Linked DNA regions of Mus musculus. The protein of the gene in region 1 interacts with the protein of each later gene in a biochemical or structural test. Links are inferred from orthologs where the notes say so. Each region holds a gene or a part of one and is shown on either strand. Other genes may lie near its edges.

Region 1 (3,648 bases):
TGTGACCTTGAATGAGTTAGTCTCATAGAACAGCAGTGTTTCTACCCACTTCCCACAGAGATGATAATACAAACCCAGCACTTGAGGGTTGTAGAGGCAGGAGGATTAAGAGTTCAAGGCCATTCTCTGCCTTGTAGCCAGTTTGAGGCCAGCCTGGTCAACAGAGTAAATCCCCAAAGAGCCAAGGCTGCACAAGGAAACCCTGCCTCGAAATCAAAACAACAAAACAAACCCAGGTATAGTGGTGTGTGCCTTTAATCTTAGCACAACACAAGTAAGGAACCGGACCAAACCGAGCCAGCCGGTGAAGTTGAGGGGCCGAGTGTCCAGTGAGAAATCTGTCCATTTCAAAGTACCGCGAAGCTGTTAGGGACAGACATCTGCACCATCCTAAGGCTCAAAGGTTCCCTTTGGGAGGGGAGTAATTTACAGGTGCATGAGATAATCTGGCAAGTCCAAACCAGTTTCTCTGGTTGGGCCAGAACCCCACGAGGCCTCGCAAGGTCTGATGGCAGACAGACACCTTTATTTCTAGGAAGCAGCAATCGATTCAGTGTTCTCTGAGCTAGCTAAGCCTTGGCCACGAATGGGGAGACAGGAACCTGAGTCCATCTCCCAGGGATGCCTGGCTGCAGGAACTGAAACTTCCCACGAGGGCACTGTTGTTTTACTGCAGTTCCCTCAGGGCCTCTGCCACAAGGAAGACAGATGCCCTGGGATGGGAAGGGGTGAGAAGAGCCCAGCCCTGAAGCCAGGGGCTGAGCTACATGGATGGGTATAAGGCTAGCCTGAGGTATACATTAATGAAACCCTGTCAAAAGAAAAATAATCCCCTTCCCCCAGTAGTCATAGACCAGGACACTGTTTTTTGTTTTTTTTTTTTTGAGTTTTTCCAGACTGGTTCCCCTGGCTGTCCTGGAACTCACTCTGTAGACCAGGCTGGCCTCGAACTCAGAAATCCACTACCTGTTAAAATGGACTGCCAGGACAAATGATAAAGATGAGGTAGCTTAGAAAGCCTGAGGGCTAGCAAGCATGTGCAGCACACACACACACACGCACACGCACACGCGCGTGCGCCACCCCCACCCCCCCAACCTGCCCAGGAACTTACCATCTTCTGCAGTATTTAGTTTGAGACCCTTGCCCTTAAAACTCAGCTGCCCTCCGGCTACCTGAGTTTTAGCCAGGGTCTCTGCCAGTTTGGCAATGTCTTCAGAGGCCATGGCTGCAGTGGCGGGCTCCCCTGCAGGTCTGTAAACTGAAGAAGAAACTGCATTAAAAAAAGATTCTTGGGCTAGGTATGGTGGCACACGCCTTTAGTCCCAGTACTTGGGAGGCAGAGGCAGGCGGATTTCTGAGTTCGAGGCCAGCCTGGTCTACAGAGTGAGTTCCAGGACAGCCAGGGCTACACAGAGAAACCCTGTCTCGAAAAAAACAAAAAGCCAGAACCAAAAACCAAACAAAAAGATTCTTGGGAGAGAAGGGAAGGAAGACTGAAAAGAACCTATATTTGATTGCCATCACCCACAGATGCCTGTTACTTTCCGCTCCAGATGAGACACGGCTGACCTCTCAGGGCACCTGCACTCATATGCATACACACACACACCAGTGCTCACACACACACACAACCAGTGCTCACACATGCATCATGCACACAGTTACAGGGCTAGGAAGAAGGCTCAATGGTTGAGAGGCTGCTCTTGACGAGAGCTAGAGATTGACTCTCAGCATCCTTATGTTGGCTAGGGCCTCCGTGGGCACTGTAGACAAACAGTGCAGACTTATATGCAAGGCAACATACTCAACACATTTAAAAAAAATAGTGGTTCAGCTGGAGAGATGGCTCAGTAGTTAAGAGCACTGGCATTCAATTCCCAGCAACCACATGGCACTCACAACTATTTGTAATTCCTGTTCCAGGGTATCCAACATGTAGGCAAAATACTATGTACACAAAATTTTAAAAATTATTAAAAAATAGTGTTTTATGCCTTTCATCCCAGAACATGGGAGGCAGAAGCAGGTTGATTTCTGTGAGTTCAAGTCCAGCCTAGTCTGCAAAGTGAAACCCTGTCTCAAATAAACAAAAACAACAACAAAAAAACAAACAAAGAAAACAAAACAAAACAAAACAAAACTTTGTAAAAAGGATTCTTCTTGAAACTTAAGGCCCTGGTTTTTTTTGTTTGTTTGTTTTTTTGTTTTTTTTGTTTTGTTTTGTTTTGTTTTGTAAAGATTTATTTATTCATTATATGTAAGTACATTGTAGCTGTCCTCAGACACTCCAGAAGAGGGAGTCAGATTTCGTTATGGATGGTTGTGAGCCACCATGTGGTTGCCGGGATTTGAACTCTGGACCTTCGGAAGAGCAGTCGGGTGCTCTTACCCACTGAGCCATCTCACCAGCCCCCAAGGCCCTGGTTTTGATATCCCAAGGATAACCTCAAAGTGTGTGTGGAGTGTCCCCTGAGTTCTCTAGTCAGGGCTGTGGATTCGCCCCCTTCCTGCCATGGAGAAGAACCCAAGAGCTAACCCACCAAGAGAAATAAATGAATAAATATGTCATTAGAAAACTAACAGTCTGGAAAGGTGGCAGAGAGCTCAAGTCCTGCAAGCCCCTCTCCAAACTGCCCCAGCAGGGACACCCAGTGCAGGGCAGTCAAGCCCCAAGCACGGCTGCCCCGAGAGTCACGCACCTGGCGGATCATCTTGGCAGCGCTCTGTCTGAGGGTCCCACTCCTCAAACAGGCTACAGATGGCTATGGGATCCAGGTCATCCATCCCAAGGAACACCCCACTGCCCATGCTGGCATGACTAGGGGAGGCACACAAGGCTAAGGCCACTGCATGTCGGTTTCAATCCTGGCCAGAGACTGCACTTGCCACAGTGGCCCCTCAGAGGTTCCTAGGAGACCAGAAGTACCTACATCACAAGAGCCGCCCGCCATCACAATAGATCTGTGTGTGGAAAACATCCCAGCTTCTCCAATGTGTTTCACGGCACACTTCTAACAGCGACCACATCAAGCAAGCAACTAACTACTGCAGGGCACTGCTCGAGCCTCCAATTCAGTTTGGACACTGGGATCCCAGGAACTGAGAGCCCAGTCTACAACGCTACCCCACATCCACGAACCCCAGTGTGTTTACCTGTGCTTCTGATCTACTGGTTAGAAACTAGGGTTGTCATGACTCTCCCCATGGGGTCAATTAATTTGCTAGAACTCACAGAACTCAGGGAAAACAGGTTTTTTGTTTTTTTAAGTAAAGTTATTTACTGGTTTATTGTAAAGGACAGGTGTATGTGTGGGTATGTACTGGGGATGGTACCCCAGACTTCTCACATTTAACTATACCTTAAACCCCAACAAACAACTTCATTCATGCATTCATTCATATACAGGGTCTCAATGTGTATCTCTGGCTGGCTTGAATTCAGTCTGTAGATCAAGGTGGCCTCAAAGTCAGAGAGGCCTCAGCTTCTGCCTTCCCAGTGCTGGGCTTACAGGTGTGTGCTATCATGCCAGCAAACGGTATGTAAAGACTACAAATGAACAGCCAGATAAACATAAAAAATGCACCAAGGAAAGTCTGAGAAAAGTTAAAGCCCAGAGCGTCCACGCACAAGACTCTCCTGTGTAC
Region 2 (3,648 bases), on another chromosome or scaffold:
GAAAGCAAAACCTTCTATTACTACGTACACTATCTGACCAGAGGGAAACGACAAGGGCAGATCTACTCTGAGTTCTATTTACATTCAGAGTGCAAGGACATGCAAGCACCTGAGCAGATAGGGCCAGGTACACACACTTAGCAGCACCAGTCCTACAGCAGACAGACAGACAGCTGACCCAGCAGACAGACAGACAGCTGACCCAGCGCTTGCCAAGGAGTCAGCGGAATGGCAACTCTGAGCCTACCCTAGGCCAGCAGCAGGAAGTTTAGAATGAAGCCAGCAGCAGGGAGCTTGTAAGACGATGAAGTATCAGCAAGCTGATTGACATCCGGAAGAAAACAGACATTAAGACACACAGGTGGGGCTGGAGAGATGGCTGAGCAGTAAGGAGCACTTAGTGTTCTTGCTGAGGACCTGGGTTCGGTTCCCAGCACCCACACAGCAGCTCACACCTGTCTGTAACTCCAGTTCCAGGCTTCTAACACCCTCACACAGACATACATGCAGGTAAAACACAAATGCACATAAAAGTACACCCAATGGGAGAGGGAACAGGATGAGAGAAACACTACAAGAGACAAACTAAGCACCCTCCTGAAGCCTACTGTGTCCTGCTTGCCCACCCTCAGTTTTTACAGTGGTAAGCAACTGGTGGCCCTAAGTAAGTGTCCACTCCAACTTCTGAAGGGTAAGTGGTGCTCACTACTTCCCTTCCCACGACACGAGGAACTGTACATGCATCTTCACTGTCTCCTAAAAATGTTTAAGTAAATGGAAACTCACCTTTCCAACACCATTTTTCTTATTTGTGATTTACTGTTGCAGCTGTTACATGGACCAAAATGGGCAGCATTGAGTGGATGCCACTCAGGAACAATATTGGTAAAGGTGACCAGACTCTTCACACACCTAAAAAACAGGCACAGTTTGAATCCCTCAGCTAGCTTCGCTGGAGTTAGTTAACACGTGCAACTGCATGCTCTTGCTTGCCTCCCAGCCCCGCCCATATCAGCACAGCCATGCCCTCCCCTGCCACGGAAGAGACACTGGAGCCTCCACACCAACTGACATGCACAGAAGGGTGACCAGCAGAGCTTCCCTCCACTAATGCTCCAGAGAATCACTGCTGATGCCCTGCTGAGCACACTGGTTATTTCAGGGCCACCCCTGGTCTCCACTTAGCACATTGTAGAATCAGTCCCCAGCTTCCATACCCAATGTACTGGCAGCTACCTAGTGAGGAGCCATCAGAGGCTCTGGGTGAACATTGTTACTCTCAGGCTGTCTGACTCAGGCTGAGTTGTGATGCAAAGTGGCTTAGCATCACTGACAACAAAGAGAGTACTGTCTTCAAACAGATACAAACTTAAACTTTTCATCTGCTGGGGGGCTGGGGGTGGGGGCAATCACTTGGAAAACGGCGACAGTTAAAAGCCATCTTCAACCGTCAGCCAAGTATACTAAATCTTAGTTGCATCAACTCTAGTAAAAACATTTTCATTAAAGCAAGTATCACATTACACTCCCCCGACAAACAACTCTCCCGTGTCAAGTGCCATGGCCTTCATACAACAACGAGTGGCAGATAAACTGGGTCTGAATCAGGACCACCAGCCTCCAAAGGCCAGGCTTTTTTATGCTCTCCAAAAATATAACTACGGAACCTAATACAAGTCCTTATACTGGCACAAAACCCAGAGGCACTAAAATGAAAGGACTAGTTGACTAGCTTCTGTCAGAGGAGAAGGAAGCCAGTTGTTGTAACCCCAACGTACACTGATTAAAGGCCATCCTGTCTTAGCTTTGACTCTGAAATTGCTTTTTTTTTTTTTAGAATGAAAGATTAAAGAATGTTTAAAGAAGTTTCAGGTTTTAAAGAAATAAAGACAAGATGCAAACCAAAGTGGCTGCCGGTTTCCCCTGGGTGCTTTCTGAGCTCTGTGCGAACACTGCTAGAGCCCACTTTCCTTCTTATGCACAGAGCTGCCGAAAGATCAGAGTGCTGAGTCACTGGCCTCGCCAGTGAGTTCATAACTACTTTCCTAAGCAGCCAGTCATCTGAATTGCCACAACAGAAATCACTCTCAGTGGCTAGGTGACTCCTGGCACACACAACCCACTCAATGAAAAGCTGTCAAACCACTAGCCTGTGAATTCTAGAAAAGCTGTAATTAAGCTGATTCTAACCATCAGCCCTGTTTATATTATTAAAAACACACGTAGTGATTAGGGAGTTTAGCACAGGGAATCACAGAGGCAAGAAACGACACTAGAGGTCTCCTGATCTCCTACTGACTCGTTACTATGAACAGAAAACCTGACCCCTTGTACAAATCAATGGAAATCTGGGAGCAGAATCCTCCTTGGCGTAGACAAGTATTTCAAGTCCTAGTGTGAGTCTCCTCTACAGCTCTCTCCCAGGCTCGGCTCTGCCTGCTGTCCAGATCCCACGGACTCGCTATGCACCGCTCGCTCGCTCCTCATCATTTACCTGCTGACTGTTGAGGCTTGCTGGTGGGTGAGCTGCACTGGGCAGCCTGATTCCTGCTAATACTGAGCAATGACCGGCGAGGCAGACAAGTACCCAGCCTCTCTGACCGCTCTCCTGAACACTATAAATGCCACCATACACTAAGAGCAAATCCATGATGGAGGCCTAAAGCAAACAAAAGCCTTGTCTCTAACAGAGGGCAAAACACTGCCAAGGACTTCAGAGCAGACGCCCTGCTAAGAACCTTCCAGAGAGTGAAGGGTGCTAATCTCATCTGTTCCTAACTTCCCAGTAAATAAATTAACAACTCCTTTTAGCTATTCTTCAAGCCATAGATTTTTTTTTTAAGTTAATTTAGACCAACAAGTTGACTCTAGCCTCTTGTGTCACAAACTGTCCCTTTAACCTCACTAGTGAGACATTCTCACAGCAGACATCGCAGTGATCCATGCCTCCATTGTCAGGACTCAGAGGGCTGAGCAAGAAAGTGGCACTCTGAGGTCAGCCCCAGCTACTGAGCTAGATAGACCCTCTTAGAAAAGGATCAAATGTGTGTTGGGGTCCAAGAAATGCTGATACATGATGCTTCCTGAGGCAGAAAACCTATAGTCTGGGCCAACCCGGGCTACACAGCCAAGTTCTCCCTGAGCTATTGCAACCTTGTCTCCATCCAAGGGGGTGGAGGGTAAACTGCTGTGGAAGTGTTGAGACACAGTGTAATGTATGTGCAAAACCTATTAAAGTACACTGTTGAAAACCATTATAGCACAAAGAATCCATTAGCAATCAACACTGACCTGTTTTGGTACTGGTGTCCACAATGGGAACATTCAAAATTCCAAGAAAAAGAATATGTAAAGAGGCTTTCAACATGGGGTTCAAGCTTTAACAGTACAGGAAGTGCAAACACAGGACTTTCCATGTCACCTGCAAAAGAGAAAAGAAAAGAAGAACGATTAACAGTCAGGACCTGCAAGAACAAAGGAAATCCATATGGTCCAGTCTCCCTCCACACATGTGTGAACACAGACTGGCAGAGTCAGCCAGTCAGGGTAGGCCTGGAGGAAGGTTGTGTCAACACACCAACATAAACTCAGTTCCCATGCTAGTCTCTTATTTCTGAAATGTTCTGAAAACATAAGGCAAGAATGGCA

What was found.
Region 2: of the proteins of Rangap1 (region 1) and Uspl1, one has a biochemical effect on the other in vitro, tested with the Homo sapiens proteins (2 studies listed by BioGRID). The link is inferred for Mus musculus from reciprocal best matches to the Homo sapiens genes RANGAP1 and USPL1.

Annotation. Positions count from the first base shown.
Region 1 is NC_000081.6:81,723,372-81,727,019, forward strand, and holds part of Rangap1 (ran GTPase-activating protein 1), read right to left. Parts: intron 2,912-3,648; exon of another isoform or gene 2,812-2,911; coding exon of another isoform or gene 2,703-2,811; intron 1,262-2,702; coding exon of another isoform or gene 1,227-1,261; coding exon 1,115-1,226; intron 1-1,114. UniProt on the Homo sapiens protein: GTPase activator for RAN. Converts cytoplasmic GTP-bound RAN to GDP-bound RAN, which is essential for RAN-mediated nuclear import and export. Mediates dissociation of cargo from nuclear export complexes containing XPO1, RAN and RANBP2 after nuclear export.
Region 2 is NC_000071.6:149,201,533-149,205,180, reverse strand, and holds part of Uspl1 (SUMO-specific isopeptidase USPL1), read right to left. Parts: intron 3,422-3,648; coding exon 3,292-3,421; intron 913-3,291; coding exon 787-912; intron 1-786. UniProt on the Homo sapiens protein: SUMO-specific isopeptidase involved in protein desumoylation. Specifically binds SUMO proteins with a higher affinity for SUMO2 and SUMO3 which it cleaves more efficiently. Also able to process full-length SUMO proteins to their mature forms.